Linked DNA regions of Lepisosteus oculatus. The protein of the gene in region 3 purifies or fractionates together with the protein of the main gene of each other region. This does not show direct contact. Links are inferred from orthologs where the notes say so. Each region holds a gene or a part of one and is shown on either strand. Other genes may lie near its edges.

Region 1 (7,388 bases), about 15 Mb from region 3:
CAGACAAAGGTAAGCAGCTTCTCGAACTTCAGCTCTCAATTTGAGATTCCAGAGTGGAAGTCATAAATCTGCATTTAAAATCACCTTTAAAATAGAGGGGAAAAAAGTGTGATGTTTTTAAAACAAATAGCAAAGGATTTTAATTTAAAACACCACTTTATAAAATAATAAAGCTGCTTCATATAACAGAACAAACACTGAAGTAATATGCAATTTCCACAAATTTAAAGTGAATCCTGTTGAGCCTCCTCACCTGCCAACTTATCCGAGAAGAGAGGTTTTCAACAATGATTCTGTGTTCTGTGCGCACTGGGGGGCCATACCTGAAAAAGCAATCAAGACGGCTTTAAAACTGCCTTTTGAAAACAAAGCAATCCATTCCTACAGCTGATGCAGAAAACAAAAGGACTTAATGGTCCCTATACCAACACTGCTACAGAGAAGGGGTGTTAGCCCAGTGTCCTGGCCAAATTTCCTCCTGGCCTTCTAACAACCCCCATCTATGAATTGGCTTTATTACTGCTTTCCTCCCACTGATAACTGATGTGTGGTGACCCTACTGGCACACTTTGCCATTGCATCATCTAGGTGGGGCTACACATTGGTGGTGGAGGGGAATCCCCATTACCTTTGAGTGGAGTGTCTAAAAAGGCACTACATGTGCATTACAGATCCCCAGTCTCACACTTCTGAGGTCCCCTTTTCATATTACATGCTAGTGTACCTAAAGATCATTCTAAAAACTGAAAGTCATTTTAAAATCCAACCAAATCTGATTTTCTTTTACAATATTACTTGCAACTTCTAAACCTCTACATACCCAAAACATTTCAGAACATATAAATCACAATCTATTCTCATTTTATGACTGGGGGGGGGGCTCTTTGCAAAACATTTTAGGATCCCCAAATCACAACATATTTTGGGGTTCGAGGTGAGGTTCCAACAGAACGTGCTGTCTGGCTCTGAACAAGTCTAGAAACGGCGAGCTGTTGGCAGAAGACGGCTGCTTACCGTGAGCCACTGCTGCGAGACTGGCGATAGCTGCCAAAGCGGGGAGAGAACCTGCCACCTCCTCCAGCGCCTCCACCCCCCCGCCCTCTGCGAGAGCGCGCATGCTCGATGGTGACCCTAAACACATCGTAAGGCACATAAGGCTTGGGTCAACGAGAATTTCAACCCAACTTAAATACAGTACCATAGGAACAGATTTCATGCCAATCGAGGTTTTATTTTGCCAGACACCTAACCAAGTTGTACAGTCTTCGCATTCTTGGGACAGTGATCATGCCTTAAAGCAATATGTTAAAAATCACTTTTACATTAAGGTGATCAAAAGTATACATTGGTAGTGAAATCAAAGTGTAAAATCAATTCAAGCTGATCAATCCCAACATTCAACTTTCAACAAAAAAATTCCAGTTCAGCAACTGTAAACAGCTGTAACTTCTAAGGCATACAGATTTAAAAATATACCTTTCACTGCAGAGTTCCTTGCCATTTAATTCATAGACTGCATCATCACCATCTCTGTGATCTTCAAACTCCTGCAGAATTAGGAAACAGACAAAAATTGATGCTCTAAACGTTCTTATAAGACACAAGCAATGTGAGCACCCGATTCGATAAAATATGATACAAACACACTAATAAACTTACCACAAACCCAAAGCCATTCTTCAGGCTGATTTCCCGAATCCTCCCGTAGCCTTTGAAAAACTTCTCCACATCCCTCTCCCTGGCGTGGGGACTCAAGCGCCCGATGAAGACACGACAACCGCTCATGTTTACAGCTGCACAAAGAAACGAAGTCTTAGCCTCCCACAATATAAATATCAACTTTCCAATCATAACCTCCATTTCCACAAAAATGTAAACCGGAAAACTAGCTATTTTAAACGTTCTCTCGATTACATTAAGAGAATAAACTAATTAGACACTTCAGCAGTCTAGAAACACGTTTAACCAACGCTTTAAAAAAAATAAAAATAAATTAAAACACGTAAAAAGTCTATTTGTAGCAGACTATGTATGTGTAGTTATACCTACGGGGGATTAAGCAAGGTTCCAGATGAGTTGAATTTTTAAGAGTTAAAAATTGTTGAGGCTACAATACAATCATGAAATGCAAAGCTTCCAAAACGCCACATTAAAATCTAAAACGGAAATAAGATGGAGCAGCGGAAGCAATCCTTCAACATGGATACGTAAACCCGCGAACGCCACGGGCCAGGCAGCACGTCCACGCCGTTTTTAGACCAAGCCTCGACGCGCTAGTCAGCTGACAGGAGCTGCAGCTCACACTAGGCCTTCTTTGGATCCCCAGGGGTGGCTGACGTAGCACAGGCCTACGCAAATCGACCAGCCCCTCCAAAGAAAACGCGAGGCCTGCAAAGCGACGTCGCCCATCACGACCACTGCAGGGCCTACGACACGCCATCTTCGCATCCAAACGTATATATGCTCAAAGGCAGCCATTACGGAACTTAACATAACGTAAATTCAACCAAACAATAAGAAAAAGAAAAATGTACAGTTTTTATTTTTTCCCCATCCCTGAGCCACTTTACCTAGCCTTTAACATGTAAATAACAATAAAAAACTACGTTTCGGATTTTAACTAATCGCTCAGTTACCAGGGTTAAAGTTAAATATTCCCAAAGCTTAGAGATCTTTGTTCATGAAAATGTGGTTCTTCTATTACAGGAACAGAAAGCAAGGTAAAAATATCGAGATCACCGATCGACAAATGCGGCGCTGCAAACAGCGCCCCTCATGTTGTGTAAGCAAGAGAAAATTGGCGAAAATGCCGATTAAACACGTATTTTTTACACATACACTGAATACTACTGGCGAGCAATCAATTTCTGTATTATTGCACAATATAAAAAGAAGCTACGTATACTACATTTTAAACAACATTTAAACAATGACCTTCGCCGACTACCCACACACCTACCTACTGCTCCTTCAGATTCTCCGCTGGAAAATGGCGACTGCGAGTCCGCGAGCAGTACAGCGGAAATGGGCGTCAACGGACGAGGCGTATCCAAATTAGCTAGTGGGTGGAGTATGGAATACAAACATCCAATCAACAGTTTTTAAGATGGTTGCGTCAGTGATCATATAAACACGTCACGAGCTAAGAGTTCTGAGACACCACCCTTTTTTCCTCTCTCGCGAAGTAAACACGAGAATGGGTGTAGTTGCTATAGCGAAAACCAAAACCGAATTCACTGTAATAGTGCGGACTGTCTATACTATGTTTTTATGTATGCGAAACTGTATTAATGTTTATCATACATAGTTGCAAGGAAGTGTTTGGGGAAAAAAGACTTGTATTTGTTGTCTAGAATAAATATCATGGGAGTCATTTTAGAGTACAACAGCGTACTAGAAAAAACTGCTCGGTTGTTTCAATGTAAAGGTGGTGATGCTCACAACGGGCCTACCACTCCTACCGTTACAGCCTTATGGTATTGTCGCTATTATGGGATTATGGTAATCATTTTAATAATTACCAATAACGAGTCATGATGTGAAAAAAAATGTAGTTAATTCAGTTATATTAAAACAAATGTATATGTACATCTATCCATTTTCTAACCTCTTTATCCAATGCCTGGTTGTGGGGGAGGCAGTGCCTAACCTGGTAAGCAATGGGCACAGAGCAAGATAAACCAGTTCATTGCAGAGTGCACTCGGACACAAACACATCAGGGGCAGTTGTCCCAGTAGCCAATTGACCTACATGTAGGTCTTTGGTCAATGGGAGGAAACCCACCCAAACACAGGATAGCATACAAACTACAGAGTTAGCACCCCAGGTCTGGGACTGAAACCAGGACTTTAACACTGAGAAGCAGCAATACTAGCCACTGTGTCACCGTGCTGCCTGAAATAGGTACAGTTAAATACATTTTTAATGACCTCCTTGCGCATTGTCATTATTGTAAGAAGGGAAACAGAAAACTAGAGGGAGATGTAATTGGGTGTCATTATATGGAATTTGTCTCCGAATGCTGAATGTTCTCAAGATTTGTACACTGAAGGACATTGTGGGACCTGCAGTGATACAGATGTATTCTGCCTTTTGCCATCAGAGCAGCTATTTGCTGCAAGCCCACTTCAGTTAACGTTCTCTGTGGTTATTGCTGACACAGGACAAGAGAGAGGGATAACATATAAGGCTAATACTGTAGGGCACAACCACTGTGCCCCAGACACAACCTTAGCACATGAAATATATACAGTATATATGAAATTCACTGGCCTGTAAGAAGAGCCTTAATTCATTCATTGCTCTAGTGACCATTCTTTATGACATTCAACATTTCAAGGGACAGTCAAGGCACATTGCCATCAGTCACACATGAATATGATTTGTAATTAATTTAGGTATTGGCCAACATTAGCTTATGTTTGTAGACACACATTCTTTTGCTGAAATCACTACTGTATGTGGGACAATTATATTTTAAAGCATCACTGGCATATCTTGTTACAATCCTCCTGAAAAAGGAAAAGGATTCTGCAATTGTGACAAGGCACAGTGACTAGTAACCACTTAAGAGTTATTTCATGCCTTCTTATTTGTTTCACTAATACGTGATGAATTGTAAGATGTGTATGCTGTGTAATTGAATCTGGGTACTTTATCTCATCAAAGAGAAATATGTTTAGTTAGGATTTAGAAAGTTGCAAAATAAGTGTGAAGGAATCCAGTGAAACTGAAATGATTATCTAGCATCTATGTTTTTGTTTTGCAGAAGTTTGTTGGAATTGTATCTTACAACACATCAGGATTACTATTGGAAATCAATTCCTTCTGTGGAAACTAAAGATTATTTCTATAAGGGCCTGGCCTTAATGGCATAGTGTTCCTCAAGGACAAGCTTATTTCATTTTTCACTTCAAGGTTCAGGCAGCTCAGTTGAGTGGACTATACCAATCCTACAAAGTGGAAGGGAGTTCAACTACACGGCCCAAGGTCAGAGGCAAGTCCTGTAACTACAAGATAGCAACATCCCCCCCAGAGTCAGTGGGACAATCCATTTTACAATCCAGAAAAAGCTGAAAGGAACACAAGAATTGAGGCATTATTCAGAGAATCAAAGTTTCAGTGGAATCGACAGTGCTTTCTATACTGTAGTTTAGCTGTTAACACACTTTTTATTATATTCTCCTGGCTCATTGATGATTCCAAACAATATACTAGCTGATGAGAAAACATAACAACAATGAGAAATTTTGCAATCAATTCCTATGTGACAAATTGAGTGTAGACCAAAGCAGAAGTCTACGATGTTACCAAAGCTGTTTTCTAAATCCTATTTTAATAAATTAACAAGAAAAGACTTACATAACCTATTTGTCTCAAACATACTTTCAAATTGAAATTCATTCAGGGTTAATTTGAAGTGAAGCAAATAAATAAATAGCAGGACAGTTTCATCAAAGACTTAAAAAACATGGAATTGAAAACATTTAATGCAATTTCCTTCTTTGACTCTGTTTTAATCATTTCAGATTGGCAAAACCTACCTGGCCAATGTACTATACAATTAAAACAAGCACAGTGGTCTTACAGATATTCTTGTTTGCACAAGATATGAAAGAGGAGATTGGAATACAACTGAAATAAGAAATACACAAGATAAAACTAACAAGGTCACATTAGAGATCTGTGTTTTTTAATTAAAAATATGTTTGCTTATTGTATGTTCATTAAAGGGATGATAGATATGCATTCTCCTGATTTTTTGGTTTGTCTATGAACATTTCACAAGAGCAGAATATATTTTAAGAAATTAATATCTTTGCTGTGTGATACACATTCAGACTGCAGACAGCTGCTAATATATTTCAATGTCATTAAAAAGTCACCCCTAGCAAATGTAAAAGTAATGTAAATTGCATTTAAATGTACTTCAAGTAAGACATTTTATATACACATACTGTAGATATGGGAAAATAAGCACTTTGTGAAAGACCAGACAATTACATTTAACAATAGGTCATCTAATAACCTGACACAGTTAATGACTGGACCGAGTAAATGAACAACATGCACAGGTGAAAGATAGGTATCACTTTTTATTATTTAGTTCAGAACAAAGGCATGTCAGAGAAATGTCCTTGGACAACAAGGTGTCTATGCAGACAATAAAAATCCTATATGATCACTCTGGGGCAAAACTAATTCCATGTTTTCAATAGAATAAAGTGTCAGTAAGAAAAGTTTGTTCAAAATTGCACATGCTGTGTCATACTGAAAAAACTATGGGCTACTGCAGTACCTGATCAAAAGCAGTAGGATGTCACACATATTCTATCAGACAGCTCCCATATAATGGGTTATACTTATATTTGAGTTATTGCTGACAACTGTACTTTATCACACTTATCAAATCACATTTCAGAACTGCCATGTGTTGTGCAGATCAGAGGTTTTCTGGGTTGACTAGTTTAATGTTATATTTAATGCTTTGTCCCAAAGGTGTAATAATTGTCTTTAAAATGTTGGCAAAATGTAATAAAGATCACATTGGCGACTGGTAGGTAGACCTTTCACAAAATTAGATAAAAAGGCAGACAACTGCTGTCCAATTTTGAAATGATCAGCTATAAGCACAAGCCTTATGTAGCTGGATAGAGCACACAACAGAGCTCCACCAGGAGATGGGCATAATCAGCTCATCTGGCATTTGTGTTGTGGTCCTGAACCACACACAACACAACAAAACAGCTCTGACTGAACATGAGTCTAAACATTTCATGTGGCTATTGTGTTGTGGTCCTGAAACAGAGAGATCAGTGTTATATACTTGCCATTCAGCCAGTCGTGTAGTGCGTAGTGCTGACTACAGAGGTGAGGCCGATATACTCACTGAACAGCATAGTTGTGGACACAAACCAGCAACCTCTCAACTGCAGGATTCTTCCAGTATAGGACCTGCTACTACACCAGACCATTCCAGAAAACAGGCGAGTATGCATTCACAGAAATGAAGGGCTTCCACTGCAAAGCACTTTACAGGAACAGCTGTTCTCTTATTCACTTCAGTGCAGGAGGAGGAAGATAATAATTAAGAAGGATAGCCTCATACTATAACCACTATTTTTAAAAATATTGTAAGACATTACCAGTACGTACTTGCAAAGATAAGAAAGGATTGCACTAATGTTGCTAAATAAATTATTTTCTACCCAGTCTATGAAAGTCAGAAAGCTTTGTTATGTGTCCTGTATTTCTGTGCTAGACTGCACTACTGGGTCAACCTACAAACAATAAAGCTTATTGTTTTTGCCATTTTATTAAAAAGGAAGCTCCTTTTTAATAAAATGGCAAAAACACCTTTGGAAGTCATTCCTCATAGCAGCTGTTA
Region 2 (7,342 bases), on a different chromosome or scaffold from region 3:
GAAAATCTTTTTTTTTTCTTGGAACATGAACTGTGCCAATGTGGTTTACTCTTCCGGAGAACGTGAAAGTTTTATACAAATCTCCGCTAACCACTCAGGTTTAATTTGCACTCGACTCTAGCTTTGTACTGTATTAAATGTGATTTACTGCATACAAAATACACATATAACAAATATTGTATATTGCTTCCAAAAAGAAATGAATAACACTTGATTTAAGACAATTCATTATTAATAATGTTTCAAGAATAAAGCGATACGAGCTTTTTTCGTTGTCGGGGACGTAAAAGAAGGAAATTGTACTTGATATTCATTATATTTCAGTTGATACATGTGTCAAAATTTAAAAACAGGGTGCCGTGTAAAAATCGAATAAGAATGAAAGGAATTTGGCATTATCTTGCTTAGAGGAGTGTTCTTCCTTAGTCTACTCTTACAACATTTACTCACAAGTGCCTTTTAAATTCTAGCCATAGACTGCAGAGTGCAGCTTGTGTTTTCTTTTATATTTCTCTAAATTGTATACCAACCACGCTACATTTGTAGTGTTTTAGGGCCACAGAAAAGTTCACAATGCCAATGTACTGTACTTCTTTTAAAATGCAGAGGCGAGCTAGAGTCGAGGTCTGTGATTTAGATCATTCCTTGTTTTTTTTCTTCATATCCAGGCATTTGCAGTTTGCTCAAGAAGAATGGACATTCCTGAATTATTTGTCTTTCTGGATTTTCCTTTAGGTAAACTAAGGGATACGGAAGAAGGAATCCCACTGACAAGTTCCATCTCTGACCTCCGACAGATTGATTCCATGGTGAACAGTCTTGAGAGCCAGGCCTGAAGAAAACTGAGCCAATGAGCAATCTTTTGTGACTTGGGGTAAAAGTGTTGACCTCAGCTTAAGATACTAACGTTTACAAGGCATTCACTGCCAGTTTACAGACAAAATAGCTGCAGTTCTCAGAAAATTGTAACTGGAAACTGATTTCTTGGCATGACAGTCTTATAAGACCTTAGTGAGCGGTTGATTGTTTATATTTCTTCTTATCAGGAGAAGTTGAAGAAAAAGACCAACTCAAATGAATCAGGCTGGATATAAAGGACAAATACAAGGTTAATGCTGTCCTTCAAGTGTGTGTAAGATCAGGAGAGTCCTCAGCAGATATATTGTCTGCAGCTCCCTGGTCTGTTACAAATGCATCATCACATCCGTCTTCATGAAGAGGAGACTTGTTGAGTTTCTCCACATCTCCTGGAGTAATCACACATGCCAGTGTGTTATGTAGAAATATTAATGAAGGATTGGGAAATCTCTGGCAATCACAAAGGGCAGGAGCCCCTTTAGAAATGAGCTTTCATTTCTGTGGTTCATCTGTGTCCCTGTCAACATTGTCCATATTTACAAAATGTTGAATTTTTAATTTATTTGGTTGACACTTATACCCAAAGCAACTTTCCCAGCTGGAAATGTATTTTTACTGGAGCAATTTAGGTGAAGTACGTCTCTCCTGGGATCTGAAGCCACAACTTTCCAATTACTCCAGAACCCTGACCACTGCTCCACACTGCTGTCTTAGTCTATATTACACGATACAGTATTTTACTTACTGTTGTTTTAAGCAGTAAATAAAGTACTGTACAACTTAAATATTGAAATCTTAAAATGCAAAGAAGATTTGGATTCAAACAGATGTTAGTCCTTAGTAGGAAAGCGATAAACCTGTGAAACCGTCAAGGACTAGTTTCTAGGGATTTGTTCTGCAGCTTTCTTAACACATTGGTACTGTATCTCAATTTCTCTAACAAGGTCAATTAATTGAAACTGAGATACCTGTAGGAAAGATGTTGAGTTTAATTTAATTTCTCTGATATCAGCTGAAAGACTGATTCATCTCAAAGTTAGTTTACAATGATCGCTGGTGCAAATTGCAAATTGCTGTCAGATAAGTAAAATACTGAAAATAAATTTTCAATTTTTACAGTATATTAATGAATTTGAACATCATGTATTTAGAAAATGGATGTAATTGTTTTTGCACAGTTATGGAAATGACATATTCAGTTCTCCCTTTCATACATTATCATTTTAATTTTTAAATATTGAAATATTGGTAGACCTGCACTTTTCCTTGTTAAATGAAGTTTTAGTTATGGTTTATCAAGAGCGTGAATCCATTAGGATTAATGTATTTAGCACCTAAAGTAATTTTATGTACTCTTAGATAATACTCAGGGCTTTTTAGATACATTTTCATTTTGATATATATGGAACCTAATGGCCTTTGAACCTAATGAACCTTTGTAACCTTTATTTTGTTCTTACCTATTGTAAATATTTATGTATCTTTAAAAATATATAGACAAAAAAATGATGAAGTTTAAGATAACTAAATCTTATTTTACAAATATAAACACAGTAAAAGTACTATATATTTGATTAGGTTTTAATTACTGATGCTTCTATACTTGAAGAACATTGTATATTGTCATTTGTATTTTTTAATCTTTAGTAATCTTACAGTACGATATAATGCTAACCCAGTAATATGTAACACCAGTGAAGTTTATGCTAGCATTGCATTCTAAAATAATAATCAGTGCTATAAAAACAGACAATCTTTTTTATTAGCTCCAAATTATTGTGAACATTTCCTTTTTATTTTGCTTTTTGTCAATCTATGTGGGGAAGTATAGAAGTAATGGATTCAACTAATAAAAGATTATATAGCTATTTTGCAGTTTTTTATTTTTACTTGCATAGTCTCAAGATTTATTATTTTGTGTTGTTTTAATAAAATTGTTTTAATATTTGATCAATTTGTTTTAAATAATTTATAAAATGCTGCTAATGGTGTAATTAAATGAAATTCACATTTTAAAGGTGTCTTGTTTGTTCCTTTTCAAACTTGTGATAAATTAAAAGTTCACCAGCTTTGCTCCTGCTATGCTTTTAATGCTGGAAATCAGTTATCCTGAGTGCTATACCCATGTCACTTCACTGTTCATTGCTTAGCACTTCTAAACATACAACCTATAACAATTTACAACAGGTTTAATGGCTTAAGACATAACTTTGGCTTTCTTTAGCCTTAGCAGCTTTAAGGTATCAGTTAATTTCCATGTCATTAGTACTAGAAGCTCCCTTTACATTTTGTGCTTTATTCAACTTTCTACAATGAAAATGTTTCACTGACAGAAATTTCCCAATGTATTTCTTAATATTTGAAGTGTTTGAATTCATCAGTTAATCTTCAGAAATATGTCTTATAAGGACGATAAAATCCATTTGAACAGCGAGAAATTAGGTGCCTTATAGGGTCTGTTAATGTTAAGCTAGTCATACTTTTCAGGCAGTTGAAAATGAGTCATTATTGTATGACTCTGCTATTTTATCTCCATTTTCTAAAGGGGAAAGTGTTAAACAATGAAGCATTCCAAGGTACATTGTCAAATGCTAATTTAGTACTGATATAAAAAAGATATGCAACGGGTATAGTGAAACAGATATACGTGTCATTTTACCAAACATTTACTTTATTCTAAAGGAGGAACTGGAGATTCTAAATTAGTTTTTTTTGGCTACAAATTGAACTGGGTATGTTTGTCAAATTCCGGTGAAATGTACTTCTCTTTGAGAAAAGATTTCATAACTGAAAGAGAATTTAAGAGCTGAATATTGTAAATAGTGCGTGTAAACACCGGACTACTTACTACTAATATGTCAAACGTTAAATTCTAGAGCTGTTTTTATGTAGCGTATTCTACTTGATGTATTTTTGTTTACATGCAGGATAAACAATAACCAAGAACAGCTTTATACCTTACTTTTGGAACAGATACCCTCCTTTGTGTAGGGGGCGATGTTAAGAATTCATCACCGCTAGTAAAAAAAAGTCGTTAAGCTATTGGTCAGCAGTATTCGGAAGTGAAAAGAATATGCCCGTTTTAAAAAATATAAAATGTCGTCTCTTAAAGTGTTAAATGTGATCTTAAAATGCTTATTCTTGCATTTTATGTGACTATTGTTAGAATAATATATTAATTTTGTATCAAACTCATTATTTTAAATGAGGTATATCTAATAATAATCAGGCACAGTTTTGGGCAGTCTTAACATATTGGAAGGCCCCCGGTTGTCAAAGGACTTTCTTTGTGAATCAAAAATTAGCAGGAAAAGTGTCGCACAGTAGGTAGCGGGAGGCGAGTAATTGCTGACTGAAAGTGTTTCTTTTTTTCTTCGAAGACATTTTATTGTTTGAAGAGTCGAGACCGGAGGAGTAATAAGGGATTTTCAGCAAACATGATAACTTCAGCGGGTAAGGAGAGGATGCAGATGTGACTTAAGCAGTTGATTGCGACCCGGTAGATTTAGCTGAGTCACAGAGTCAAAAGACTGAGCGATGCAAATAAGTGTGTTTTGCCTTTTAAGTTGTACAGTATCTCATTATGAAACGTAGTACAACAATGTAAAATATTTTTATTGGACCCCCTAACCCTTAATGGGACATTTTACAAACAATCAGTTGTTGCTGATCTCGTTATAACACGGAACAAGTGAATAACAAGAAAAACAAACGTACCACGATTGTCCGCCGTGTGTCGGAAAAGTACCAATACGACCATCCGAGTTCACTACTAAAATGTTTTTTTTTCTAGTCTTTGTGTATTTGCGCGTGTTGTAAACAAACCTGTTTCAACACACATAACTGTGTTTCCCATTACAATGTTGGTCACTTTCCACATGGCAGCTGACGAGTTATTTTAGTAGCCTTGTAGTTGTGTTTGTTTACAGGAAATTCAGCGCGTCCCGCTGATTCTGTGGTTCCTATGTACCTTGTGTACAGATGTGCAACCAGAGTATATTCTAACTGTGGTAGATGTAGTCTACCATCCAACTTCATTCGTACGATCATAGGATGGCATTTCTAGACAATCGGTCAAAGGAGCTAAAAATATGTAGAGCAGTTGTCTCTTGCGTAACATTTGTAAGATTGTGTACAGACTTGTTTTCATACATTCGTTTGTCTTGTTCTTATAAATACAATTATTTGTTGTAAATATTGCATTTTTTCGTCTAGACATAATGAGGCTGGACCACCTTTTCCAGTAGTATTGCAGTGCTATCATTGGTAACTAATCTGTCGATGACCTTCTTACATGCCTTTACTGGAGCAGAAGATTGATTGTTTACTAACGTGGTATACTTAAAGGTCATTCATGTGTTCAGATCCACGTCTCTACAGTTTAGTGTTAAACATTTTGGTAGCTGTATTTGTCAACTCAGACACATTTCCTTTCCTTTTTTAGCTGGAATAATCTCTCTTTTGGATGAAGAGGAGCCTCAGCTCAAGGTGAACTGTTTGCCTTAAGTACACCTTATTTGCAGAAATAAGCTTGTGCATATACTGTAAAAAAACAGAGGTCCATTGATCTGAGAATCACAGAAACACACTGTTCTTGTTGATCTTTACACTTTGTGCATAATAGTTGTGTATAAGCAGGAGTACTGAACTTCATTTCTAGTACCTATGGGAATCGATCACATATATTAACCCTGGGACTGCATTGAACTTTAATGATGCCAACTTCTAATATAATTGTACTGTAATTTTTAATTTACTATGAATTTTATTTAATTCCTCAGGACTCTTATTTATATTGTATAGCACAGTTAAACTGTTCTCTTCCTGACTATAATAATCGTATGAGACGATAAACCTGCCAAAGGCAGTTCTGTGAAATCTGCAGTGTGTTGTGCATGTCATGAAAGTATCCTATGTTGTTTTCCTGAATATTTCTGATACAGGAGTTTGCTCTGCACAAGCTGAATTCCATTGTCAATGATTTCTGGGCTGAGATTTCAGAATCTGTTGGTAAAATGTAAGAATCTTTTTTTTTTTGGTCTCATCTACCTTTGTTATTCACAGATTAACTTGTCTCTTCTCTAAATGTCATTTCCTTGCCATATCAAGAATGGTTAAATACATAAATCATTCTGCACGCTTAGCCTTTCCAATTATCAATAGGTTTTATATAAAAATACATCTGAAATTATTTGCCGTGAATATTACATTATACAAGCTTGGAGCTGGTTTCCTTGTTACATAATTAAACCTTCCTCTGAGCTAACTGTTTCTATCCCGTTGATGTCTGATTAGTTAATTGTGCCTTGGGTGTAAACTAGGGTACTTATCACTAGATATGTTGTTTGTTACAGCTACAGTAATAATTAAAATAGACATTTCTTGGTCTGATCATTTTATGTTACTCTTTAAGTGAGGTTCTCTATGAAGATGAGACGTTCCGTAGCAGGGAGTTTGCAGCACTGGTAGCGTCCAAAGTTTTCTACCATCTGGGTGCGTTTGAAGAGTCTCTGAATTACGCTCTGGGAGCTGGAGACCTGTTCAATGTCAATGACGATTCTGAGTATGTGGAGACTATCATCGGTGAGTTCAGAAGTGTTAATGATAGTGATCGAAGTGTGTGATGAACCAGACTGTAAATGTTTAGAAAATGTTGAAGTGTCCTATTATTACTCTTTCTTTCTGCATATTTGATTTACCTCTGTCTCTTTTGAAAAGGTGGTGGAATTTCAGAATTAATTCTAATTAGTTGTAACACCAGGACAGTTGTTTTGAATTGTTAAATTGTTTCCTGCCCTGTAACTGTTATGTCAAAGTGGGCCACTTTGAATATTTCCAGAAACAAGATAAAATATTAAGACAAAAAAGAAACACTTGTACAAAGGAATCCCTCCACTTAACGCTTATACATTACAAGTGTATAACTGCATTTGGCGGTCATAGCTGAAGTGCTGGGAAGTGGCAGTTCAATCCATTGCTTCTTCTTTCATGCAGCAAAATGTATTGACTACTACACAAAGCAGCGTGTGGAGAATGCAGAGCTGCCGGATGATGAGAGGAAAAGCATTGACCCCCGACTGGAGGGCATTGTTAACAAAATGTTTCTGCGCTGCCTGGGTGACCATAAGTACAAACAGGCAATTGGCATTGCCCTTGAGACTCGTCGGCTGGACATCTTCGAGAAGACCATCCTGGAGTCTGTAAGCATTGACTGCGCTTGGCTGAACTGTAGCATCCTACACTTTTTAGTCTCTCTAACGTAGGACACACAACGTTATTACAGCTTTGTTTCCTAGTGATCGTTTATGGAGTACAATCTGTAATTTCTTATTGTTTTGTTGCATTGGAGTTCTATGGTAAACTATATTAATAAGTTCTAATATTTTAATTGTTGCATTTCCAGTGGTATTGATATGTGTATTCCCTGCACTTCTCCCAACATTTTCTAGTAAAGATGTGCATGGGATGGGAAAGGAAATTTTTT
Region 3 (7,378 bases):
AGAGAGAGGTGAGACACAAGCCACAAAAGAAACGCTCAGCTGCCTTTACACCAGTACAGACAGACATCTGGAATTATGTTTTCACTTCTTTTGCCACATAACATTTACATAAAATGAAGTTCAGGAATGGACGGTTTGGTTTATTCAGTGTATGAATTGCAGACACCATGATGATTGACTAAAAAGGCTAAACCTTCACACTACAGTATACAGTATATGATTTGGCAGAGGTTCTATATTCTAAAAGTATTGAAGTAAATAAAATCATGGAAATTGCACTCTTGTGTTCATATTTTAGCATTTCAATGCTGCCTAAAACTGAACCAGGGTAGTTAATGACTGAAACCTAGACACTGTCTTTTCTAAAAAAACCCACAGCTGGTGGATTTTAAAGAATGCATCTTGAAGCTGCTGGGTCTGAATGTCAACACCATGGTCGCGCAGGAGAGCGACATTCTGGCTCAGCTGGAGAGGCGTCTGCGAGACTCACAAGGGGGCGACGGGGGCCAGGTGAGGAGAGACAGGCCTCCAGGAGGGACAGCCCCGAGCGACCCCACACCTGGCAGGGCTCAGCCGAAGGCACCGGGCCTGGCCCCCAACCCCAGCGCCACAGTCCAGCACGTCATCTCTGCCAAAGCTGCGCTTCCAGCGAGCGAGTGGTGAATACAAAGCACAGAACGACACCTCCCTCGTTCTGGATGTGCAAAAGTACAGTTCAGCCCTCATTTCAATCACTCAGATGGACAGACTACAGAAGAATGGCTGGCATCAAACACTTGTCCAACAAATGCATTACAGATGCACAGAGACTAACATTTTTATTACCCATCCATTTAGCTTCAGTGTGATTCTAATGCAACTGCAGGTCACTAAGAAGTATGTCTAATTTTAGCTGGTGTGTATTTTCACCCTTAAATAAAGAGTGACAACGAATGCAACATTTAAAGCGAATAGATCTGAGTGAAGGTGTCTACTGTATCTTTAAAAAAATGATTTACATTTAAGATCAGTATACTAATAGTCCCAGTCATATCTATAAGCATATTGCTGGTAATGATAAATCTCTTCCTCCTTTGATCACAAAACTCCTGCTGCAATATTGCAAACCATTGTTGTTTATAAAGGAAAATGGTGAAAGTGGTGAATTACTTCTGAGATAGATGCCTGCCTTTACAAATGTCCAGATACTCTTCACATTCTCCTCCACAGGCTGCGATTATTGAAATTGTAGATACAGTGTGGCAGAAGCCTGTAATTCAGAAATGATTAGGGCAGAATCCTCCGTTTCAACCTGCACATGATGTAATGAAAGACACACCGCATTGCAGATAGCAAATGGAATTCAATTTGCTTTTTGGTTCTGTATCTTCAATGATTAAGGCAAAATGCGTAATTTATGGAACAAATTACTTACCTGAAAGATAAATTATTTCTTGTCTGAATTAAACTGAATGGGAACAGAAGTGAATGTGGAACTAAGAACAGACTGTTACTTTCTTTTGCCATTGTACTGCACAGCTAGGTTCACAAAAATACAATTCCAGTTAACCCAGGTTGAAATACTTGTTCAATTTCTGAATAAAATAAAAAAAAATGGAGATGTCATAATATTTTCAAAGTGGGACCCCATCTGTCCAACGAAATGACTGATATTGAAATACTTAGTTTCATTCTTCCAGCATTAAGTACTGTGATGGAGACAAAACACAAAATAATCCCTAAAAATTGACTAACCTGTGTCTGATGTTACTCACAGCAATTCTGGAAAGATTGGCATCCCTTCATGGGTCACACCACATTTATGCTTACAGTATTACATTCCATGTGTTTATACTGTATGTGTCTGTCATTTTTGTTGTCCGGCTGTTAAAATATACCTTACAAATAAACAGGGAATATTGGGTTCCCTGCTAAGATCCCCCTAAACTTGGCTAATAGAAATGTAGGACATTTATCAAGAATATTGTCTTGCCAGACCTCTAACAGAGGGGGCCTGAGACGAAACAATGCAGTTCTTTCACACTTCATCGGGCTACATGGGCTGTAAATATACAGCCGATAAAGAGCCAAGTCCATCAGTAAAACACCAGAAGAATAAAGCAAAGAGTGAAGAGGGAATCCTCCTCTCAGAGCTCACAGTTCTCCTGGGCATGGCTCCCAAACCACCCAAACAGTTTCAGGTTAGCAAACGGGTTCCGAGTCCCAGGATCCACTGGATTCCTTCTTTTCGGAGTTCCAGATGTTTCCAACAAGTCTATGTATTCTAAGAGCTTCAGTCAAATTACCTGGATCATTTCATTCATCTTCATGTGGTGTTCTCCTTGAATTCTGGCAACATATTTCATTAAAGCCAGTTGTTATATAGTTCTTACCGGGTGTTTTTCTGTATTTCTGGGAGTATTTCTCCCAGATTCGTTTCTCTTTCTATTTGTTTTGAATGGCTAAAATATAAGGTAAAGGAGAACTCTTTAAACCAGGGGTGGCAAATTCCATTTTTAAACTTATTAAAACCTACAGTATATTAGATTAACCCAGCATTAATACATTGAATAACCCACTAGGAATTGATCCCTGAAAATCATTAATATTTTCAGACAAACTTCAGACTGTTGTCTTATATTAATGTTTTGTTTTTCATTTTCTACTTTGTGGGAACTGCTAGGCATTTATAACGAGCATCATGTGCAGAGCCTAACCTAAATCTTATATATTTTCTAAGTCCCTACCACTTCCACATGTTCAACTTTAAGAGCCAAAAAAGACATTCATTTCATATGCAGGTATCAGCCACTAAAAGCAGCCTCTCTCTGAACTAAACACCCAGGAGACCACTTATCCCCCAGGAAATCTAATTCTGCCCTTGGAGAGAAGCTCAAGAGCCAAAGCTTCTTCCTGAACCCGAGATTACTCCAAAAATTGCTGATCAGAAAATAACAAAGCAAAACCAAAAAAAAAATAGAATTAATGAAACATTTACTTCTTTCCTGTTTTCCGGGAAAGAAGAATTTACCTTCTAGCCTTTCTGGGGAGCAGGTTTTTATTTAATGTTTCAGAGAGAGAGAGAGAACAGAGTGCTGCCATCTTTTGGAAGACAACTGTACCAACAAATGGCTTTGACCAAAAATAACTGTACCCTATATCAGACAGACACTATCATTCCTAAAGTAATTTAATAATCTTGTTGTGATTTAAAATCCACTGTCTCTCTGTGAACGAGCTAGCTTTCCTTTTTTCTAAGCAATGCAACATATTTATTCTAAAGACTCACGGGTTGGGCGACTGGTGGCACAGTGGTTTGCATGGGCCCTGGCTGGAGATTGTATTTTCTGCCTGTGTTCATGTGGGTTTCCTCCCACAGTCCAAGGACATGCCTGTAGATTAATGGGTGTGTGTCTCTGTGTGCCCTGAGAGGGACTGGCGTCCCATCCAGGGTGTACCCTGCCTTGCACCCGTTGCTTGCTTAAATAGGCCCTGGCTCCCCTTAGACTCTGAATTGGAAGACGATGTCAGAAAACAGATGGATATCCTGGAGAGACAGTATTTTCCTTCTACTGTTTTTTTCTATACTTGTAACAATCTGAAATGCATAGTGCATTCTCATAGAGCTTGGAATTGTGGATAAAACATAATAATTGAAGACATTCTTGTACTAGGGTATTTTTATATTTGTATCCACAAGGACCGTGAGCACAAGGGAATATAACAGACCCTCCAAACAGTTCAGTTACAGTACAGTATGTGAAAAGTCGCTGGTGTTCACTGCTTTGGCTGGTCTGAGGATCGCTGGAAAAGTTGTTTTTTTTAATGTTGAGGAAGAATATCTTCTAGCTGGTCACATGAAGGCATCTCCTTCGACTGTCTGGAGTGTCAGGAGGGAGTTACTATTGCGAAGAGCATTGCTACTTTTCTCCAAACAAGTGATGAGAACTTGGCCATCTGCACAAGGCAGATCAGTCACTCCATTAACATTGTATCTCTTTCAAAAATAAAAGAAAGGCTTTTATAGATATCGGTCCAGTTCTATAGGAACTCTGTAGAGAATTGGGACATTTCTATTTAAAACTATAAGTCATCTACTGTATATGGTTATTTACATAATGTGGCTGTCTATTTATTAGTGCCAACTCTGAACATATTCTTTTTGCTACATATTCTTTGAGCCCCCTTTGCGCTGTCGCGTGGTTTAGACCTCAGACTGAACACAAACAGCTTTCTATTAAGAGCAAAGCGGAATATGCGTCCCATTCCTCGTTGCAAAAAAGGTCGCAAGTTCAAGGGATGTAGAGGGCGGGTTTTGGAGGGTGTGGGAGACCGTGACGGCAGCGGCCGTCTCTTAAGTGAATGAAGTATTACAGAAAGCAGCAGAGTTACAAGCAAAAAGGGCTGTTTGAGCATCTCGGAGAGAGAGGGAGACTGCGCGCAGCCTGAGCCGCGCAGCTCTGAGTGAGACACGCCGTGAGAATCCTCTCAGCGCTCTCCCGTCTTACCGGTCCTAGGTAGTAGTGCCAGTTAGCGGCTGATATACTTTTTGTTTTACTACGCTGTACAGCTGGACACGGGAGAGCGGGACCTGCTGTTGCTCAAGAAGATACAGTAGTTGTGTACTGTTTCATCCTCCTGCTGAAGGGAATATACCACAGTACAGTGGCCGTTCCTTCAGGTGTGCGAGAAGGCAGGTATGTTCGCTGGCTGCATCTCCGTCACGCACAGAGATTGATTAATCGCCGTTTGTCAGTTTTCAATGGACTCGTACTACGGTTGTGTTTACTTAGTATTTCAGACAGAGTTCAGTCGGTACCAGCATTTTTAACACCGGCAAACATGGCAAGGGAAGTTCTCGTTGAATTGCATTTCAATTGTACTTTAAAAAAAAAAAAGAAAAGCCGTAATATAAATGAGAGAAATATAAATGGTTTACACCTATGCGCAATTCAACCATATACTGTATCTTTTAGGGCTGCCGACTGCGATTCACATGAAGAAATACTGTAGGGTGGTTTTCCTGCTACGATTCACAATATCACAAAATTGAACTTTTCTCGTTTCTTTTAGCTTTGGATATGCTTAGTTGGAGCAAACAAATCCTGTAACCAGTGCAGTGGGTTACTGACTCGTGTGCGTTCTCATTTTTGTTCATATCTTATCTTATATTATGTGTATCTTATGTGATATTCCTTGCGATTTAAGAAAATGAAACATGTGTTGCCCTGTAAGTAGGAAATAAAACAGCTTTATAAATGACGTTCACGATCAGTGTGGCAGAACAAACCGTTATTTATATTAACGAAACCTCCTTGCCGATTCCTCCTGCAGTAGCGAAGTAGTAAAAACTTTAATGTTCTTGTAACTGTACGAGGTTTTTCCGTTATCGATTGGTAATGACGTTGCACACGCGACTAAGTAGCAGTTCACCACCAAGGGCTATCCGTTTTCAGCCCAGTCTCTTCTGAGGCTGAACTGTAAAGTTGTTGCTGTTTCTGACTGGGCTGTTAGAACATGGCAAGATGTTCAACCCGGAGACCGCACGAAAGGGTTGAGAGCAGATTTCTTTTTAATTTATGTAAAAACTCTACACTCCGGGTAGTCAAAAGAAACAGGAAATCGCCCATTTCTGTCATTCCCCCTAACTGTTTTTACAACTGAACCGCTTATTTCGTACAGGAGTTTATTAGTACACTGTTTTAGTCGTTGTGGTCGCTTTCTCTGCTTTTTTAAAGAAACACTTATCGTGTTTCTATTTAGAGTGTTACGGCACTGCTTTGACAGCATTGTTACCCTCTCTTTTTAATTAACCAATTCGTAATGCTAACTCTATGTTACGTTTAGCTCTTTTTTCTCTTTCTTAAAGCAGCAGTTTAAAAGTTGCAGATTATTATTTTTTTAGATCTGGGCCATACACGTTTTATGCTCAGTTGCTTTAAATCAAAGATACATGTTTACTGCGAGGTGTAACAGCCAGCTGCACAGTAATGTGTACAATACCACGGATCAGTGAGTCCTACACCTTTATCGGTTGGAATACAGGTTTTATGATAATTCATCTGGACAACCTGTTATTTCTGAATGCCTCTGCATTCCCAGTGCCTCCCCTTGAGTCAGTGGTATGTAACAGTGCCTGGTTCCTGAACATTTAGTATGTCGGCGAATATTTATTTTTACATTTTAGTTATTTGCCACAACAAAGTTTAACTTTTCCGGTTCCGAAAGAAATAATTCTCGCCGTGAAGTGTGCTCATTTTAGCGGGCGCTGTGAAACAGTCTTCAATGTTTCGCTCACAAAGAGCAGTGAGTTTCCAGTGCTGCTTAAACCTTGGTTTCATTTCCTAGAATGTCTTGCTGTTTGAGTAGAGTAAAATAAGGCGTAGAGTAAAAAAAGGTCTTCGTAAAAAAATGGAACCGTTTAATTCTGTAACTTGTAACAAATTGATTTGGTAGGGAAAACAGCTTTCATTTCCGAGTGTTTTTTTTCTTCAAAAGCACAAAACACTCGACACTCGACACTGGACTTGTCCGAAATTATTGGTTTATTACAGCTTTCCTGCTTTGCAGCGCACTACCTTTTAGAAGCTCATGGATTCAGTGAATTACAAAAGGTGTGGAAATGGTTCTGGACATGGAGTTTGCAGTTTTTGAAATATTAAGAACAAATTAATGCGGTTTTGGAGACGTTTGGTTTTCATACGGCGTACCTCTGCGTGTCCTGAGCAGTTTCCTGTGAAAGCGTGGTGCAGATGGGTGATATGTACTGTAATATCACTTGCAGGCTCCCGGGATGCCCGAATTTGTTTAAATTGGAAGGTCCTTGTCTTTTCCTCTCACCCATGTTTTGTGAAGATAACTATCTACAGGCAAAGTTTCACTTTTTCATTATTATTTCAGTTTATGAAGACGGGGAAACAATGGTTTTGGGGAAAATATGACCCAGGGGTATACACTTTATGTATTGTTTCTGTTCTTTTTTTGAATGTTTCGTCTGTGTGAGTATTTTTTTGTGTCTAATTGATCAAGGACATCATTCACAAGAACTGCATTGTGTCTTCATAATCCACAGCTACAGGTAATGAAACCAAAACGAAGTTCCAACAACTTACACCAATACGTGGGTTATTTAGTAGACGTACTCTATCAGAATCATAAAAATGACACTGGTCAGCAGATCAACTGTTGGGGCTTATGAGAATGATTTATTATCGTTACCATTTCTCTTTTCATCAGATCCGATATAGGCATTGGAGTGTTAGAGGCTGAAACAGGTTTCTGGGAGAGGGACTGAAAACACACAAGTCTCATAATCTGAATACTCTACACCTCCTCCTGAGCATCTCACATAAATTAGAACTGTGGTTCCCCACCCTGGTTCTGGATGAACACTTTGTCT
Region 4 (8,179 bases), on a different chromosome or scaffold from region 3:
GGATTATTATCTGTACTCAATGGCAATCTGATGGAAAGCCTAACTAGACTAAAGGCTCTGTGAGTGTAGGAGTTTCTTTTCTCCTTGTGACAGTAAGACTTTATTTTAAGCAACTAGACTGTAAAGTTTGAAACATCAGCTGTTCTGAACCGAGGAGCTCCCTCAGGCTGACATGAGTGGACACAAAAATATAGCGGCGTGTAAAAATCAACATTGCCCCTCAGTAAAACATCTCCGACGTCAGGTCTGTTTCTGGGTTTTTGATCTGAAGTTCGGCGTTTAGTTTGGAAATAGTTATATATTTGGTTTAGTGAATGAATTACTAAACATAGTGGTGGCTGGGATAGCGTCTCGCTGCCAAAGACTAAAAAAACGTTGAAGAAAAGGTGTTGCTGATTCTACAATAGCGATCTTGAGATCCTTTACCCGTGAGTGACAAGGACGTGGATCAACTAACTTACCTCCACATTGCCGCAGGTTTGAAAGGCGGTAAACATAAACATAAACCCGAACCCCAAGATGACGATATTAAGAAGCATCTTTTTATCCGGACCCATCTCGCGATCTTGTCCTTGTACCCAGCGAAGGGACCTCGGCAAATCCTACAGGGTGAAAGACAGCAATCAGTAGTTATGTGCCTCAGAGTTCGTGTCGTTCACAGGTATGTACACCCTGAAACAACCACACAGCTGTACCAGGAAATCACTAGTTTCACCGCAATAGGGGCATATTATACTCATCGTGCGTTTGCTTGAAATCACCTCTACCTCCTGAGATATGAATTAATAATACGGTTGCGAAAGCATACCTCCGGATAATATCTATGCGGCGTTACGGGACGGGCGTGGATGTCCGCAGTTCAGCTTTTCGTACTGCTGGTAACCATTCTGAAATCGTCTCAGCCCAGACGAAGAGTCAGATGATCTATCCGTAGCTACGGTTTTCCGTCGGGCATGGAAACTATAATCCGCCGGTAATAAAGTACTGCAATTTACTGTGTGTGCAAGACCGAGACTGATGAGTTGTCATGTGAGGAGCTCAGCTGATCTGCGAGACCGCAGCAAAGAGGCTTCTGGGATGTGTAGTTTTTTTAATTTACCTCCCGCTGAGCTGCGGCCGCAATCGAGTTATAAAGAAACAACCAGAGAAATTCTGGTTTCCGCCCAGGCCACAGAACTGAAACTGCATTAACAAGAGATTTAAATGATATTCTTTTAGCAACTGACGCAGGGAATCCAACAGTGCTCCTAGATTTTAGTGCTGCCTTTGACACAGTTGACCATTGTATTTTGCTACACGGGCTTGAGTCTGAGGGTTGGCCTATGTCCTTAAGTGGTTTACCTCCTATTTAACTAACCTTTCACTATGTTAAAACATCTAATATTTTTACTGCTTTATCACTGTCACCAGTCAAATTTGGGGTACCACAGGGATCAGTGCTCTGACCAGTATTGTTCTCTCTGTACGTTGCCACTAGGTAGGATAATACGAAAGCATAATATTACCTTTCATTCCTATGCTACACTAAAATATACATTTTTAATTTACACCTAATGACAACTTGTCAATTGTCACTTTAGCTAATTGCATTAAGTGAAGTCTTGGATGTGTGAAAACTTTTTGTCACTCAGCTCTGATAAAACTGAGTTTCTGTTGTTTGTGGGCTACTGCTGTTGTTTGGATAAGACTGCTATAACCTCAGCACTCAACTCTGAGGGTTTAAAACTTTGCCTCAAAGATTCGGCACGTAAGGCTCTCATTTAACTCTCATGTTAATGCAGTATCGAAGGTGTGCTTCCTATAGGTAAGAAAGATTGCAAAACTAAGGTATTTCCAAGACACAGAGAAACTAATACATGTTTTTGTATACAGCAGATTAGATTAGTGTAATGCCCTACTATCAGGGATCACCTATCGAACTTTCCATACCTTACAGCGAATTCAAAACTCAGCAGCTAGAATTGTTACTAGTAGTAAAAAGTATGGCCACATAACAACTATACTTAGCTCTCTCCATTGGCTTCCTGTCAGGTACAGGACAGACTTCCAATTTATTTTACTTACTTATAAGGCTCTCAGAGGTCAGGCACCTGTCTATTTAGTGGAGCTGATTAATGTATACAATCCAAGTTGCCCACTTAGATCGCAGAATGCAGGTCTTCTTTTTATTCCACATATTAATAAAAAAACAGCTGGCAGTAAAGCCTTTAGCTACAAGGACCCTAGTTTATGGAATAGTCTGCCTGCCTACGTACGGGATGCCAGGTGAATCAAAGGATTTAAATCCAGATTGAAAACCTATTTTCAAACTATCCTATTCTCCTCCCCATATGTCCAGATGGCACCCTGACTGGGCATCATCTGAGTTGGATGCTGCATCACCGCCATGGATCCAAGAAGGACATTGCGATTTGCTGGTCTACAGAGATCTGCATGGAGTACTGACACACATTGAAAGTTGATTATAAATGACAAATTCTTCAATGTATTTGGACATTTTTCAGTTATAAAAAATGCTAATTAAGTGCCTATCTTAAGTGCTCACTATCACTATCACTTATCATTTTTAGTCCTGAGTTAGGGTGATGCAAACTCCAAGTCTGTCATAGGCTGGAGTGAAACTGAAAATGGTGCTCTGGAGTTGTTAATGTATTATGTGTTGTCTTAGTAGCAATCAAGGATAGAGTGTCTGTCCCTTATTGTCAGGAAGACTGTCACTGCTTTTTCGCTAGCCAGAGCCGGACATTGGACACATATGCTAGTCTGTATCTGTAGGAATTGAATGTCTGTATTTAATCATGGAAATGAAACGTGTACATGAATCTACATGAATGTTTATGAGATAAAATAACCCAACTAAATATCAAGTAGAGTAATACGCCTATATAAAATTGTGCTGTCAGGTTGTGTGATTCAGAGTTCAAAATAATACATCAGCCCTTAACTACAGAAACTGATTGAATATCACATGCAATTAAAACATTTTTACAGTTTTCTTATTCTTTAAATTATTTAATGTGTTAACATTTTTAAAGAGGAGAATAACCAATAATCGCTTAAACTGGTGTGTGCTCCATTCTATCAAAAAAGAAAGAACAGAATCAAACGGGACACACACATTTTCTCACATTCAGGAAACCAGTAAGGAGTCTCAATTTTTACACTAGAATCTTACGCTTTGCTCCAGTCTTTGGTATCTCTGACCCCGGAGACAGTGTTGTAATAGGTTTTGGAAAGCACACAAAGTACGCGTAGTACATAAATAGACAGAAGGGCACAGATTTAGTTTCCACACCAGTTTCATAGTTTGTCATATGCTCTCCAGTTGAAGAGGTTAGTCTACAATCTTTTAAATATTGCTCGTCCTTTTACCTTCACTGTACAATGCTCGGTATTTTAGTATATCATATATTTACAATTACTGTATTTGTAATCACAATGAAATTATTTTTTTTAAAGCCTACGTTTTTGTGAGGGTAACGAGAGTTCGGCGAGGGGATACTTTGTGGAGACGCAGGAACAGGTGTAAATGTCCAGTCTCTATCGGCTAAGTAACTTATTACATTAGATCATATAAACAGTAACATTCAAAACCGCATCAGCTAGTTTAATTAGGTTCTCACATGAAATAGTTGGCTTCATATTATGCTTGATTTATTTATATTCAATTAATGTTTCGGTTATTGACACTGCACGTGCCTCGTGTAACTTTCGAGTTAATTTACTATGTATTTTCTGCATGGTGTGCTTTGAATGACATACAACGGCATGCCAAGATCCCAAAACTCACATATACTGTATAGTCTATATTAAGATCCTGTGAACTTATTCCTTTTAAAACGTTATGTTTTTTTAGAAGTCGAGTATTTACGTTTACTGTTTATAATATAAAACGATATCGATAAATGAAACGATAGACTACTATACTTCTGCTGCTACGATTACTGTGAACAACAACTCTATAGTCCTACTGTTACTGAACTGCAAATGCGGTACCACTAGAATTGTACTACTGCTATGCTACTACTGCTTCTAAAATTAATAGTAATAACAACGATGACAAGTGTACGTGAACTTGGTCCTCTGGGCGGTAAAAAGAAACTTAGGGCCAATATCGTATTTTTAAGTTCCTGGTTACATCATCAGGTTATTTTTGCTTGATTTAAATACATACAGTACTAGAACCACCCTTGCCAGATCTCTTCTTTAATCTGTCATTGAACTATAAAAGAACTGTGTACATTCAGTAACCATTCTGTAGAGTAGAAACCAATTTTAACCTACAACGTAGTGCTCCAATAATGCCCTAAAACACGGTTTATTTTCCACCCGTATCTAGATTTTTTTGCATTTTACTAACTTTCTCTCTCCTTGTAGTGTGGTTTAAAATCTGAGAGGAAACACAGCTGCAAAAATATTGACTGTTTCGTTTTAATGGACATTGGCAGATGCATTAAACTATAATTCATCGTTTCATATACAGTAATATAACTTATATTGTTACTGAGTTATAACTTTGCACGGTGTCATGTTTCGGTAGTTGTTGGCATTGTTAATCGATAATGGTTCCTAATCTTGGAAAAGCTCTGGACAACATGACTAATGACTGAAAGAACAGGAAGGCAAAATTGTACCTCACATTTCATACTAAGAGATAAATACTATGTACTTTTTAACACTCTACGTGGAGTTTCAATCGATTTTTCAAACTTCCCTACTAATGACCGTTCATATAATTAACTTCCGGTGTCACATCCGGTTTGCTAGGCAAAATATCACCAAAAACAAACTGAAAATAACAAGATTTTTATTTTAGAAATATTTTTACAGACTCAAAAGCGATGTTTATACCGTAATGTGTGGATACTGATTAATTTAGAATAAAATAATAATAGTTTTAAAAGAGTGTCTATAAATAGCAGCTTTTGGGCGCTCAATCCGCCATTTGGTGTGGAGAGCGAAAGCAGGGCTTGTGGTGCTTTGTTGGTGCGCGTAGCGTGGTTTTTTGTACTAAGTGTTACTATGGTTATTATTGGGTAGATTATCAGCTTGAAAATAACGACAGTGAAAGTACAAGTAAGTAGGGTGTCTGAGCGGGTTTGAGTTTCTAGACGGTGTGTTTTTGTTTTTTTCCTCTTGAGACAAAATGAGTTACGGTAGGCCGCCGCCCGATGTCGAGGGCATGACTTCCCTCAAAGTGGATAACCTGACCTACCGGACGTCGCCGGAGACTCTTCGGCGGGTCTTCGAGAAGTACGGCCGGGTCGGAGACGTCTACATTCCCCGGGACCGGTACACCAAGGAGAGCCGCGGCTTCGCCTTCGTCCGTTTCCACGACAAGCGGGACGCCGAAGACGCCATGGACGCCATGGACGGCGCGGTGCTGGACGGGCGGGAGCTGCGGGTGCAGATGGCCCGGTATGGCCGGCCACCGGAGTCGCACTACGGCCGGCGTGGCGGCCCGCCTCGGAGGTACAGTGGCTACGGCCGGCGGAGCAGGAGGTGAGGGCTGGGCGGTGGAGCTTCAGCGGGTTAAACGGCGCTGGCTCCGGGGCTAGATAAACCGCATTGTGGGGGAGACTCCTGGATGCAGAACAAAGAACTGCAAAGTGTAGTAACGCGCGCACACTCTGCTTTTATAGAAAACGTGGGGTGAAGTTCGACATAATCTGCATTCAGGTTACATTTTGTGGAGGGATCTTAAAGATTCTCCACTTATGTGAAGATCTCCAGTTATTGGTAGTGCTTACGGAAAGTAATCTTTCCTGATTAGGTAAGGGGCTTACACTGAGTCGCAGGGGAGCAGGTAGTCAAGTTATGTATCGCCTAGATGGCGATATTCCTTCCGTTCAAAAAGAAGCGATATTTATAGGAGGGGCCAAGATAAGGGTTTGCGGTCTTTTCTTTTTGCAGTCCTCGCCGCCGTAGACGCAGCCGGTCCCGAAGCAGAAGCCGTTCCCGATCTCGCAGCCGATCCCGCTATAGCAGATCCCGCTCCCGCTCCTATTCCCGGTCCCGATCCCGCTCCAAATCCCGCTCTCCACGGAGGAGCAAGTCCAAGTCCGTGTCCAGATCCCGCTCCAGGTCCAAGTCCCGTTCCCGGTCCAGAAGTCGCACGCCGCCCTCCAACAGAGACTCCAAGTCCAGATCGAGGTCGAAGAGTGTGCCCAAGTCCCCAGAGGAGGAAGGAGCGGTTTCCTCGTGAAGTTATGGTAAGTGCAGCTGAATGAGTACATTCGTTGGCATTGGGGCATGTGAGTGAGCAGCAGCAGTAGGGCAGCATGTATTTAACACGATTGTACTGTTAATGGTAAGGGGGTAGCTGTTGAGGGAGGGTGTTGGGAGTATGGCATCCTTATGGTTTGCTTCAAGCATGATTTAAAAAGCTGTTCTATAATAGTAGTCTTTCTCCAGCCTTTTGTATCGGTTATGTGACACTTCTGCCTAAAAGGCAAGACTGAGAAGAAACTTTCTGGAAGAAACCCAAAAGGTTTTGAATTTTCTTGCTTTGTGATGTTAACTGAAGGTGCAATAGATTGGAGAAAGCTACTTGACCTGTACATTTCTGAACTTGCCGTAGTTTGTATAATGAATATACAACTTGCATCACTTTGATGTAATTTTTGAAAATTGTTCAGTTTCGGCAACTTGTATTTGTACATGAAGTAAATATTTTGCAGTTAAGACTGGTACGGAAGTAAAATATATTCACCAAAAATGTGGAATTTTCTCCTCCAAGCTGCTGTTTCCTGTTTGCAAAAGTGGAGTTTGGGGCAGTTTGTGCAGTTAGAGGTTGTGTGATCCGCCCAGGGGCCGCCTCCTGCTGTTGGGGTATGCTTTGGAGCAGGTCGGTCACAGTCAGTAATGAGGTGGTGTTGAGGTACGTCTGCAGGACAATGGAGAGGAGCCTTGCATTGTCCTCCAGGTCATGCGGTCATGACTGTGGGCTCACACACTAAAGCAGGAGAGTGAAAAGGTTTGTGCGCCTATTTGTTCATGTCAGGGACATAAAGGTCAAACTATTGTTTAAGTAAAATTTGCACTTTCCCCAAGACTTTTTCTAAACATTGGACTTAATGTATAAAATCCCTTTACAGTAAAAATACAAACCTATGAATTCTTTGGTTGCCTTTCCTACATCTATAGGCTGGTTATGGTGCTGGTTCTACACAAGCACTGAATTTTCTTGTCTAAGCCCTACATTTATCAGTAACTTAGACATTGGCATGGCTGAGGAGTGTCTACCACCTCACTTGCAAACTTGAAGGTAACGGCAAACTAAATGATGACTTCTGCAGTTAAACTGAGTTAGTCTTTGAATGTATAGTGATTTTTAAGTTTAATGTACAGTATTAGATAGTGCCTCTGAAGTAAAGGTAGTCAGCCATAACGCTTCTCTTGCCTTTGCTGCTTGCTCACCCCTTTCTCTTTCTTTCTAGATTGTTCACGTGAATGACCGATCCCACTGAGGACACCCCATCGAAAGTAAAGGTCTCAGGCTGAGGACCCCCCTTTCCCCAAGAGAAATTTGCTGGCTAAAAGGTTATTATTGTAAATTAGTTTCCAAGGTTTTAAAGGAGTTTCTTTTGCTTTGAGTTGCCTAGAATAACGAGGCTGATTTTTATTTTGTGCCATGTTTTCCAATTTCTTGTAATTCACTGAATAGGAAGAACGTCAGATACTTTATGGGCTTGTAAGTGAGGTAATTTGTTTTTCTGTTTTAATGTGATGCAGTGCTGAGGCTTTTTGTATATAGTTTTGAGTATAAACACGTGGCCCAGGGAGCATATGGTAGTCTAAAAATGCTATTTTCCAATTTTGGCTTTGCAGAATAAATTTGGATATTTCTAACATTTAGGTGCTCTTATTAGCACACATTTTTCTCCAGAAAGAGCCAGGAGAGAGCTGATTTTTCTCAAATTAGGATTTACCAATATTGAGTAGCTCAGTTTAAATGAATCCGGCACTGATTTAATGAATTGCATCTTTGTAAATGACAGTTTTTCTTATTGTGATTCTAATCTTTTCTCTTGTGTATTTTTTGTGCACTAGGCGCAGTTGTGTAGCAGTTGAGTATTGCTGGTTAGCTGTTAAGGTGGCGTGTTGCAGTGCAGAGTGCTTGGCTGTTTCCAGTTTTCTCCCGATTGCTCCAGTGTAACGATGCCTTGGCGTGCTGATG

What was found.
Region 1: the proteins of estrogen receptor beta (region 3) and srsf5a purify together in Homo sapiens (affinity purification with mass spectrometry; 3 studies listed by BioGRID and IntAct, with this or other methods). This does not show direct contact. The link is inferred for Lepisosteus oculatus from reciprocal best matches to the Homo sapiens genes ESR2 and SRSF5.
Region 2: the proteins of estrogen receptor beta (region 3) and psmd1 purify together in Homo sapiens (affinity purification with mass spectrometry; 3 studies listed by BioGRID and IntAct, with this or other methods). This does not show direct contact. The link is inferred for Lepisosteus oculatus from reciprocal best matches to the Homo sapiens genes ESR2 and PSMD1.
Region 4: the proteins of estrogen receptor beta (region 3) and srsf2b purify together in Homo sapiens (affinity purification with mass spectrometry; 3 studies listed by BioGRID and IntAct, with this or other methods). This does not show direct contact. The link is inferred for Lepisosteus oculatus from reciprocal best matches to the Homo sapiens genes ESR2 and SRSF2.

What each region holds. Positions count from the first base shown.
Region 1 is NC_090703.1:23,110,974-23,118,361, reverse strand, and holds the start of srsf5a (serine and arginine rich splicing factor 5a), read right to left. Parts: upstream 3,066-7,388; 5' UTR 2,960-3,065; intron 1,794-2,959; 5' UTR 1,786-1,793; coding exon 1,660-1,785; intron 1,548-1,659; coding exon 1,477-1,547; intron 1,132-1,476; coding exon 1,015-1,131; intron 324-1,014; coding exon 254-323; intron 1-253. UniProt on the Homo sapiens protein: Plays a role in constitutive splicing and can modulate the selection of alternative splice sites.
Region 2 is NC_090708.1:8,526,764-8,534,105, forward strand, and holds the start of psmd1 (26S proteasome non-ATPase regulatory subunit 1), read left to right. Parts: upstream 1-4,139; 5' UTR 4,140-4,295; coding exon 4,296-4,311; intron 4,312-5,302; coding exon 5,303-5,346; intron 5,347-5,801; coding exon 5,802-5,875; intron 5,876-6,271; coding exon 6,272-6,441; intron 6,442-6,852; coding exon 6,853-7,058; intron 7,059-7,342. Other genes in the region: uncharacterized protein C2orf72 homolog, read left to right, coding at 736-836.
Region 3 is NC_090703.1:7,981,153-7,988,530, reverse strand, and holds the start of estrogen receptor beta, read left to right. Parts: upstream 1-4,368; 5' UTR 4,369-4,676; intron 4,677-7,378. Other genes in the region: coiled-coil domain-containing protein 170-like, read left to right, coding at 1-8, 379-663.
Region 4 is NC_090704.1:35,480,702-35,488,880, forward strand, and holds the start of srsf2b (serine/arginine-rich splicing factor 2b), read left to right. Parts: upstream 1-4,923; 5' UTR 4,924-5,146; coding exon 5,147-5,502; intron 5,503-5,913; coding exon 5,914-6,205; 3' UTR 6,206-6,212; intron 6,213-7,439; 3' UTR 7,440-8,179. Other genes in the region: UNC93-like protein MFSD11, read right to left, coding at 462-557.